2 linked regions of the Arabidopsis thaliana genome follow. Changing the gene in region 1 together with any one later gene gives a genetic interaction. Each region holds a gene or a part of one and is shown on either strand. Other genes may lie near its edges.

What was found.
Region 2: of PHV (region 1) and ESR1, changing one enhances a phenotype caused by changing the other (phenotypic enhancement), as found in Arabidopsis thaliana (one study listed by BioGRID).

Annotation. Positions count from the first base shown.
Region 1 is NC_003070.9:10,795,391-10,803,042, reverse strand, and holds PHV (Homeobox-leucine zipper family protein / lipid-binding START domain-containing protein), read left to right. Parts: upstream 1-1,949; 5' UTR 1,950-2,298; coding exon 2,299-2,519; intron 2,520-3,030; coding exon 3,031-3,190; intron 3,191-3,320; coding exon 3,321-3,436; intron 3,437-3,517; coding exon 3,518-3,608; intron 3,609-3,703; coding exon 3,704-3,799; intron 3,800-3,885; coding exon 3,886-3,999; intron 4,000-4,075; coding exon 4,076-4,159; intron 4,160-4,237; coding exon 4,238-4,393; intron 4,394-4,479; coding exon 4,480-4,554; intron 4,555-4,628; coding exon 4,629-4,735; intron 4,736-4,807; coding exon 4,808-4,997; intron 4,998-5,089; coding exon 5,090-5,278; intron 5,279-5,361; coding exon 5,362-5,442; intron 5,443-5,528; coding exon 5,529-5,669; intron 5,670-5,757; coding exon 5,758-6,047; intron 6,048-6,145; coding exon 6,146-6,263; intron 6,264-6,346; coding exon 6,347-6,496; intron 6,497-6,568; coding exon 6,569-6,715; 3' UTR 6,716-6,919; downstream 6,920-7,652. UniProt on the Arabidopsis thaliana protein: Probable transcription factor involved in the determination of adaxial-abaxial polarity in ovule primordium. Specifies adaxial leaf fates. Binds to the DNA sequence 5'-GTAAT[GC]ATTAC-3'.
Region 2 is NC_003070.9:4,427,862-4,431,526, forward strand, and holds ESR1 (Integrase-type DNA-binding superfamily protein), read left to right. Parts: upstream 1-1,856; 5' UTR 1,857-1,929; coding exon 1,930-2,916; 3' UTR 2,917-3,104; downstream 3,105-3,665. UniProt on the Arabidopsis thaliana protein: Regulates gene expression patterns in meristems and thus modulates organ development. Required for correct embryo patterning and cotyledon organogenesis. Modulates auxin signaling pathway in early embryos.

The sequences.
Region 1 (7,652 bases):
ATCTTTGCATATTTAGACTTGTAGCAACTATCAACAAGTCGGACACAACAAACGTTCATGCAAGCGTAAAGCAGTGCCAAAACCACCCAAGAAACCTCAAAGACGACCAAGGAAAAAACAGAAAACAATGGATGAAGAGAACCCTATCACTCAGCCAATACAATCTTCTCTTCAAAGTTAATGCTTGACAAGTCTTTACTTTAGAATATCTTGTCCCTCTGAAACGATTGTTTTTTTTGTGACAAATATTGTTGTGTTGCAACAGCTTCGATAGTTATGTTGGTTGGATTTATTTAAGTATGACTCTTTGGATTATTTTAAGTTGTTGTGTCTTTCTTTCAGCTTCTAAAATCCAAACTAATTAAGCAATTCAAAATCATTTAGAACGTTTTTTTGTAATAAATTCAAAATAGTTTTAAAGAACATCATGTGGTTTTTGCGCTAAATACAAATGTCTCGTTGTTTTTTTTTTTAGAAATTAATATCCCATTAATAATTAATTACTGTGGAGTTAAGTTTATTAACAGGTTTTAGTTCAGGGTTTGTTTTACTAAAAACATAGTTTAGGGTTTAAAATGGATCTGGCCAAAGTTAAGGGTTTTTTTCATTAAATTCCCTAATTTATATTCAAAACTTTCAAAACAAGTTAAAGGAAATAAAACCAATTAAGGTTAACCAAAAAAAACAACAGATTTCACGCATCTCACGCGCATAGTGACATTGTACATACTTGTCATGCATCGTCTCTTCCACATGGATACAAAAGATAGGCATACAACAACACCATCATCATGAAAATATGTACATGCACATACATACATACATACAACGTCTTAGGACTAGAGAGCAAAGAGGGTAGGGAAAATTTGATGCTATGTTTGGGTAGGCCACTGTCACAGAGCTTAAAGAGAAGTGCTTTCTTTCCCTAAGTTAGCAAATTACCCCATTTTGTCAAAATTCCGTTTCTTCTGACAACAACACTTACGTTTTACGAATATAAATAGTTGTAGCATGATTTATTTTTGTTACCAATAGATAAACATATTTATTCTTATCGATTGCCATTAGGACTAGGGATTCTGATAATAATTGATATGTCTTAAAATTTGCAGAGACAACAACTTTGCGTGTTGGTTTTCTCATCTGTTTGTGTTTAGCCTTAGTCTGAAATCTGAATGCATTTAAGTTTTTCAAAACTAATCACTTTCAATCCTTTTTAATTGTCAACATCTACTTGTCCTTTTAATCTAATCCAAGAATATTGAATACAGAAACATGTTTACACAAAGAAAATTAGGTGGTAATGATATGAATTAGAGAAGTGTAATCAAGATTCCATCTCATATTAAACCTATTTAAAAGAGTTGTAAGAAAAAATAATAAAACAAGTAATTATTTACTTATAACTATGCATCAAATATTACGAAACTTTTAAAATGAATTGTTAATCTAATTCAATCAATATTATAATTATCTATTTAACTAATAATATTTATATGGTGGCAACCAAAGAATATATATGGGTCCAACTGGTAATTTAGATGAATTGTAAAATTTTTCGGAATAGTTGCAAACTATAAAAAAGAGTTGTACGAGAAAGTTGTATAATAAAATTGAGAATAAAACTTTTTATAACGTTTTTGATAAAGATTTTATAAATGATAACTGTCAAAGTTGTACAAACTCTACCGCTTTGATAATGAGTTATCAAAGACATAAACTTTTATCCTAGTTAATCATTTTAACTTTTAGAATTTAAGCTTTGAATTAAAATTCAAGCTTAGCTTTGTATAAGAAAAAGTTTAAATATTTTTACTTTGCCTTAACAGTAAAAAGCTTTTAACCAAAAACATTGAATTCAACCTACTCTCCCAAAAATTTCACCTTTAATTTTTTTTGAAAACAATATTTACCAGTTTAGTGCATCTTGTTGGGTTGTTCCTTGTCCTTTCTCTCTCAGAAAGATCTTTACTTTTACTTTTTCAGTATTTTCCTCTCTCTTCTCTCTCTTCTCTCTCTTCTCTCTACTTAGCTGCCTCGCTTTTGCTCCTTTTACCTCTTTCCATCTTTCAATCTCCTTTGAGAGAGAGAGCAAATGAAAAAAACCCAAAAAACTCTTTTCTCCAACCATTACCATCTCATGAACACTCTCACAGGAGGCTCTCTCTTCTCAGAGAGCCTACCCATCTAATATTTCTTCATCTGAGTCTCTTTTACTTCTCTCAAAGTATCGATCTTTATTCTTCTTTTTGTAAACCCTCTCTCTCTCTCTGATTTCTACTGACCTGTTTGGAAGATATGATGGCTCATCACTCCATGGACGATAGAGACTCTCCTGATAAAGGATTTGATTCCGGCAAGTACGTTAGATACACGCCGGAACAAGTTGAAGCTCTTGAGAGAGTTTATGCTGAGTGTCCTAAACCTAGCTCTCTGAGAAGACAACAGCTTATTCGTGAATGTCCCATTCTCTGTAACATCGAGCCTCGACAGATCAAAGTTTGGTTCCAGAATCGCAGGTTATTATTTCTTTATTAATTGTCTTTAATGGAATGTTTTTTGTGTTCTTTGATTGTTTCTGTAATTATAAAATTGAATTTCTTTTGTTTGTATTTGGAGACAAAAATGTTCTTGTCTGACAATGTTTTTGGTAATCTTCTTGTTTTTGGTCTAATTGGTGATTGTTAAGCTTTTGAAACTTTCAGATCTATGTCTATAAATTTGTTTTTCTCTTTTTGCTTATTAGGCTTTTGTTGACACAGTTGAAAGTTAAAATCACAAGGAAAAGTGACAGCTAATCAAACTGTCTTTGATGAGCTTTAAAACGCCTCTCTCTTTTTTTCCTTCTGCAGAGAATATGTTGGAAATTACATTATCTTTTGTTCTTTATGTCATTCTGGTATCATTCTAAAGCAAAAAAGTGTGTGTTTCTTCTGTTCATTTTTCTATTATTTCAACACATTTATCATACTGCTATAGGTTTGTCTTTAACTTTTCTGGTTTCTTTTGGTTGTTTTGTTGACTTTTTAGATGTCGAGAGAAGCAGAGGAAAGAGTCAGCTCGTCTTCAGACAGTGAACAGGAAGCTGAGTGCTATGAACAAGCTTTTGATGGAAGAGAATGATCGTTTGCAGAAGCAAGTCTCCAACTTGGTTTATGAGAATGGATTCATGAAACATCGAATCCACACTGTAAGTCCTTGAATCCCTTTTGCTAAATGCATTGTTGAGTTGTTATCTTTGATGCTTGTATATGTATTTGTTCTTTAAGAGTTCTCTGTTGTTAGAGAGTGACTGGTGAAATCTCTGTGTTGTGTCTTAGGCTTCTGGGACGACCACAGACAACAGCTGTGAGTCTGTGGTCGTGAGTGGTCAGCAACGTCAGCAGCAAAACCCAACACATCAGCATCCTCAGCGTGATGTTAACAACCCAGCTAAGTAAGGAAGGCTCTTTTTTTGTTTGTGAATTTCTCATTGTGACATTATGAGAAGAGACTAAATGGAGTGTTTTTTTGGTAGTCTTCTCTCGATTGCGGAGGAGACCTTGGCGGAGTTCCTTTGCAAGGCTACAGGAACTGCTGTCGACTGGGTCCAGATGATTGGGATGAAGGTAGATAAGTTGAAGTATTTTAACGTTTTCATATGTGGAAATGAAGTGGTTTTTAGAAAATGTTTTAATATGTATTTTCATGGTTATGTATGTAGCCTGGTCCGGATTCTATTGGTATCGTAGCTGTTTCACGCAACTGCAGTGGAATAGCAGCACGTGCCTGTGGCCTCGTGAGTTTAGAACCCATGAAGGTAATGGTGTTTTCTTTTTATTTTAATCTTGTGTTGTAAGAAGCGGAAATTCTACGAAGGCAATCTAAACTTCAAATACTGTGTAGGTCGCTGAAATCCTCAAAGATCGTCCATCTTGGTTCCGTGACTGTCGATGTGTCGAGACTCTGAATGTTATACCCACTGGAAATGGTGGTACTATCGAGCTTGTCAACACTCAGGTCTGTTTCATAAATCCATGAGTGTTGTTTTTGTTCCTTTAAAATGTAATGATCATTATTCATGGTTGGTTATCAGATTTATGCTCCTACAACATTAGCAGCAGCTCGTGACTTTTGGACGCTGAGATATAGTACAAGTCTAGAAGATGGAAGCTATGTGGTGGGTATTAGGACCTGGTTTTGTTCATCTATGATTCTATTTATTAGATTTGCCTTATATTTGCTTTTTTGCCTTCAGGTCTGTGAGAGATCACTCACTTCTGCAACTGGTGGCCCCAATGGTCCACTTTCTTCAAGCTTCGTGAGAGCCAAAATGCTGTCAAGCGGGTTTCTTATCCGTCCTTGTGATGGTGGTGGTTCCATTATTCACATCGTTGATCATGTGGACTTGGATGTAAGCATATTGGATTTGTAATAGCACATTAGGTTTCGTAAAAGCCTTCTATTTATGTTGATTGATACGTTTTTTTGGTTTGGTAGGTCTCAAGTGTTCCTGAAGTCCTCAGGCCTCTTTATGAGTCTTCCAAAATCCTTGCTCAAAAAATGACTGTCGCTGTAAGTTCCATATAAACCTTATCCACCCGTGACCTGATTAGGCTCTCTTTATGAGTTTTACTTCCACATTTCAGGCTCTGAGACATGTGCGCCAAATTGCTCAAGAGACTAGTGGAGAAGTCCAGTATAGTGGTGGACGCCAGCCTGCAGTTTTAAGGACTTTCAGCCAGAGACTCTGCCGGTAATACATTTCCTTGATAAGCTTAGTTTTATTTTCTAAAGCATTGTTCTAATTGCTTTTCTTGAAATTCAGGGGTTTCAATGATGCTGTAAATGGTTTTGTCGATGATGGATGGTCTCCAATGAGTAGTGATGGAGGAGAGGATATTACGATCATGATTAACTCTTCCTCTGCTAAATTTGCTGGCTCCCAATACGGTAGCTCATTTCTTCCAAGTTTTGGAAGTGGTGTCCTCTGTGCCAAAGCTTCTATGCTGTTGCAGGTGCCTATATCATGTTTTGACACTTGTGAATAGACAAAAGAACCGGTTTCTTCAATTTCTGACATCATTCTCTTTTTTATCTGCTCTTGAAGAATGTTCCACCCCTTGTATTGATTCGGTTCCTGAGAGAACACCGAGCTGAATGGGCAGACTATGGTGTCGATGCCTATTCTGCTGCATCTCTCAGAGCAACTCCATATGCTGTTCCATGCGTCAGAACCGGTGGGTTCCCGAGTAACCAAGTCATTCTTCCTCTCGCACAGACACTCGAACATGAAGAGGTACAAAGAATCTCAAGAACATTTTCCTTGTTGTCTATTCTTTTGCCATGCCTATAATCCTATTTTGCTTACTTGTTTCTCAGTTTCTCGAAGTGGTTAGACTTGGAGGTCATGCTTACTCACCTGAAGACATGGGCTTATCCCGGGATATGTATTTACTGCAGGTTTGCTTTATACTAAAGACACTCAGGGATTCTTAAAGATGAGTTATTGAAATTGAATTCTTGGTTTCTTTTTTGCTTTTGTCCAGCTTTGTAGCGGCGTTGATGAAAATGTGGTTGGAGGTTGTGCTCAGCTTGTCTTTGCCCCAATCGATGAATCATTTGCTGATGATGCACCTTTGCTTCCTTCTGGTTTCCGTGTCATACCACTCGACCAAAAAACAAATCCGGTAAAAAGAAAACTGTTTATGATAAGAAATTTGATATCTTGAAATTGACACAGTCCTTTTTCTTTTATTCCTGTATGTAACGTTACAGAATGATCATCAATCTGCAAGTCGAACACGGGATCTAGCATCGTCCCTAGATGGTTCCACCAAAACCGATTCGGAAACAAACTCTAGATTGGTCTTAACAATAGCCTTCCAGTTCACGTTTGATAACCATTCCAGAGACAATGTTGCTACAATGGCGAGACAGTATGTGAGGAACGTTGTTGGTTCGATTCAGAGAGTGGCTCTAGCCATTACGCCTCGTCCTGGCTCAATGCAACTTCCCACTTCCCCTGAAGCTCTCACTCTTGTCCGTTGGATCACCCGTAGTTACAGGTACTCTTCTTAGAACCTTAATCTAAAGACTTGTAACAATATAGAATGTGCTTATCTCATTTAATAACTCAATAAAATGTTTTTCTCCGATGTTTTAGTATTCATACAGGTGCAGATCTGTTTGGAGCTGATTCTCAGTCCTGTGGAGGAGACACATTGCTTAAGCAACTCTGGGACCATAGTGATGCCATATTGTGCTGCTCCCTGAAAACTAATGTAAGAATTCTGTTTTTTTAAGAGGTGCTCAATCTAGTTTATGGTTCGGTTTGGGAATTGTCTGATTATTTTTTGGTTCTCAGGCCTCACCGGTATTCACATTTGCAAACCAAGCTGGTTTAGACATGCTTGAAACTACACTTGTGGCACTTCAGGATATAATGCTCGACAAAACACTTGATGACTCTGGTCGTAGAGCTCTTTGCTCCGAGTTCGCCAAGATCATGCAGCAGGTTAAACATTTTCTAGCTAGTCTTTTAAGTCTTTCCCTGGAAAATACTAAGTTTGGATTGAATCTTCTTCAGGGATATGCGAATCTTCCGGCAGGAATATGTGTGTCGAGCATGGGCAGACCGGTTTCGTATGAGCAAGCGACGGTGTGGAAAGTTGTTGATGACAACGAATCAAACCACTGCTTGGCTTTTACCCTCGTTAGTTGGTCGTTTGTTTGATGAAGGAAAAGGTTGGTTATGTTAGATATTAAAAGTTAGGGGATGTTGTTTTTGGCTAAGGTTTGTTGAATTAGAGAGTCCATAACTCTATATGTAATATGGAAAAATTCTGATGATAATCTCTTTAATCAATTATGACATTATGTATGGCAAGATATTTATTTTTATTTATGTTTTGGACTTGTTTCGTTTTTCTTCATCTTCCTTTTACGAAATTTGATATATATATATATATATATATATATATATATATATATATATAGATAGATATAAGATGAATTATTATTAGTAATCTTATAAGTTTTTATCATGTGTTAATGTACAAATATAAACACAAAGATTGGCCTCAAAAGCATGTCGAATAAACTAAATTAATCATCATAGTTTTTGGCAAAAAACGTTTAATGGACTTGGTAGCTCATATGTAACATGAAAAATGTATGCGGAGTTTAGGTTGTATGCATAAATAATAATCATCCAAAAGATTAGATTTGAATGAATCTTTGACATTAAATGATCAATAATCATTACTAGTATTTATCTATTAAATTGAAATAGTATCTATCACAAGAAAACTAGTCATGATGATGCTGTTCTTTGACTTCTAGGCTGGAGGAACCTATAAACTTTTCTTTTGGGTAGTCTAGTTAGTAATGGAAGTTGATAAATAGCTTTTCTTTTGGACAGAAACCTACAAAACTCTTATGGAAGTTTTATACCGACCAAAAATATGGAAGTTTTATTTATGTACAATCTCTTTTTATCATTTTTCAGCATAATTTAAAGAAAATGGTGGAATATTTTTATATAACCAATAACAGAATTTTTTAAGTCTAAGGACAGCTATTTTAATCCGCTGTCTACATGAGTTATGTAAATCGATCGAGGTTTTACCATTTACGGATGAATGATACACACCAACCATAATCAAACCGTA
Region 2 (3,665 bases), 6.4 Mb from region 1:
TTTTCATTAAAAATTATTTGATAAAAATATGGTTATATTACAGTTTTACTAATATATTTCTATCTACATATAAAATTTAGATAAAATTTGATTTCTTTGCTGAGTTTGTTTGGTTGAACTAAAGTCATGTTAAGTTTGATTCGTTTGGTTGTGAGATATGTAGATTGAGTACGGTTTGACTATAAATAATTGGTTCATTTCTTGCTTTCACTTAATTGATTAGGTTGGATATATAATTCACATGTCCAACCCTAATCGAAACCGAAGTATTTCAAGTTGATATTATGATAGATACACTAAAATTATCTCAGAACACGAGCTATCGTAATAATTTACTTTGTGACATCGGAAATCACAAAGACATTTGCATAGGACTGAGCTGGAAACCAAAAGTCTTTAGTTCCCAAAATTATGAAGAATTTCTCAAATTTTTAATAGAAAATAGATAAGTTCACCAATGAACTCTTTTGTTGTTTTTACCATATAGTAATAACTATACTTAACAATTATTATAGTATATATTAACTCAACCTACCCCCCCAGACAAAATCTTATATCAACCATGGATACTGTTAGTTTGGTAATAAAAGATCTTGCCTATGGTTTCACATAGAGTTGTAACATTTCAACATTAGACAAAATGTTATCAGTTTAAGTTCATATTATGACTATGCACATTTTAAATTAAAACATTTTAGTTTGCTTGTAAAATTACAGAATTAACGCAGGGGTTTTAATTGCTGCTTATTGTCTCATTCAGTCATTTGCCGACCAACCAACATAAATCTCAATATAATGAGTTCATGACGTCATGGTCATGGTAGATGGTTTTATAATAATACCTAAAAAATCTCAAATGATGGTAGTAATTAAACACATATGACGCAAACGCAGCCATTACAACGCTATTTCAAAACTTATTTAAACAATTAGTAATACTTACCAAAGCTTTTGAAAGATACTCCAGTAAACTTGTCAAATTCTTATATTGTTCTAATAGACTTTATAATAAAACGTAAGCATCGGGCGATATGGCATGATTATTTCATGACAGAAGAAATAAATAATTTTAACAAAAAAAAAGACAGAAGCAATAAATAAAAAACAAGCTTCTGATACATGAAATACATATATGTCTCATACATACGTTTAGACAAACCTGAAATGTCCTCTTCGTACAATAATATCCACAAGTGTCAGATTTACACTGAAGTGTTGCTATGCATATCTTTTGTTCCATACTTTTCTTACAAAATCATTTATTTTCTTCTCGATATCACCGATTGGTGTATGTTGTAATCATACATTAACATTAACAAACAAAGATACTTTTTCAAGGATTATTCTAATTGGCAGTTTTAGAAATAATGGAATTATCCTTTACTAATCATACAGAAATAATGTAAATATGTTTAGCATGTGTGAAATGACTGTTGGTCGATTTTTAACTTTAATAAATAAAAAAGCAATAAGAACGTGGTTTTATTTCGCCACTCCCACTTGCATCGTCATCATCAAAGAAAAACACTAATGTCTAGACCAAAGATTTAAAACATCTACCCCATATATATATGATGAACAAGATAGCAAGTAAATTTAAATGTAAAATTAAATTTTAGTTTGCTAAGATTAATATACAAAAGAAGTATTATCAATTTATCAGTTATTAATCAAATCAAGTTTTAAGTGCAACTCAAAAGTTTCCATGCTTATATAGTTATTTGTATACTACTATACTGTATGTGCAAGAAAAGCATTTATACTCTTCGCCATATATTTCAAACTTCACAAAATTTAATTAAATTTTTATACCATTTATGTACCTATAAATAGATAGAAGAAGCTCCATCTCTTTCAAACTATCAACCACCAAAATCTTTCACATTACACCTTCCTTTTGTCCTCAAACCAAAACCCTAGAAACCAAAAATGGAAAAAGCCTTGAGAAACTTCACCGAATCTACCCACTCACCAGACCCTAATCCTCTCACAAAATTCTTCACTGAACCTACAGCCTCACCTGTTAGCCGCAACCGCAAACTGTCTTCAAAAGATACCACTGTAACCATCGCCGGAGCTGGCAGCAGCACGACGAGGTACCGCGGCGTACGCCGGAGGCCGTGGGGACGATACGCGGCGGAGATACGTGACCCAATGTCGAAGGAGAGACGTTGGCTCGGAACATTTGACACGGCGGAACAAGCCGCTTGTGCTTACGACTCTGCGGCTCGTGCCTTTCGTGGAGCAAAGGCTCGTACTAATTTTACTTATCCGACAGCTGTCATTATGCCTGAACCAAGGTTTTCTTTTTCCAACAAGAAATCTTCGCCGTCTGCTCGTTGTCCTCTTCCTTCTCTACCGTTAGATTCCTCTACCCAAAACTTTTACGGTGCACCGGCAGCGCAGAGGATCTATAATACACAGTCTATCTTCTTACGCGACGCCTCGTGTTCCTCTCGTAAAACGACTCCGTATAATAACTCTTTCAACGGCTCATCATCTTCTTACTCAGCATCGAAAACGGCATGCGTTTCTTATTCCGAAAACGAAAACAACGAGTCGTTTTTCCCGGAAGAATCTTCTGATACTGGTCTATTACAAGAGGTCGTTCAAGAGTTCTTGAAGAAAAATCGCGGCGTTCCTCCTTCTCCACCAACACCACCGCCGGTGACTAGCCATCATGACAACTCTGGTTATTTCTCTAATCTCACTATATACTCTGAAAATATGGTTCAAGAGACTAAGGAGACTTTGTCGTCGAAACTAGATCGCTACGGGAATTTTCAAGCTAATGACGACGGCGTAAGAGCCGTCGCAGACGGTGGTTTATCGTTGGGATCAAACGAGTGGGGGTATCAAGAAATGTTGATGTACGGAACTCAGTTAGGCTGTACTTGCCGAAGATCGTGGGGATAGCTAGATATTCATCATGATTATGTTTTGAGTTTTGGTACTATCGACTTAGTTTAAAGTTGCTACCTTTCCCAATGTTGGATATTAACTAAATTATGTTTTAAGTTGAATTTGCTAATAGGATTTCATAATTATAATCAAGTTTATAATATATTTTCGTAGCTAATTAAAGTTTATATCCACGTATTCTGACACATTACGCGCTTAATGATTTAAGTTGTATCATAATTTATAATCACATGGTGGAACTTGTTAAGAAGTTACGTAACTCTTAAACAGCTTTAAGCCTCTAACATAGTCGTAATAGCAAGAAATAATATATATGATGAGAGATGAGTAAAATAGGAAAATTCCTTTGTTCAGCAATGTTGGTATCGACCTATTAAAAGTGAATCTGCAGATGAAAAAGTGATATCCTTACATTTATTTGTTTGTAGTCTGAAAAGTGGACTAACGTTCGTACAAAAGGCAGTGTTTGTCTCTGTCTTCTCCAACTTTTCGTGCTCTCTTCATTCTATCACCAAAGGAAAAGCTGAACTACTAAATAACAAAGGTCAAGAACTTTAATATTGATTGATGTCAAAAAAATTAGTAATAAGTACTGATTTTTTCACATGTTGATTAATAAGTACTGAATTTGCAGAAATAAACTAAAATATATGCTTTGACCAAAAAAAAAAAACTAAAATATATGCTTTTTCAAAAAAACTAAAACTAAAATATATGCAGAATGAGTTTAATTCATTGCGAAT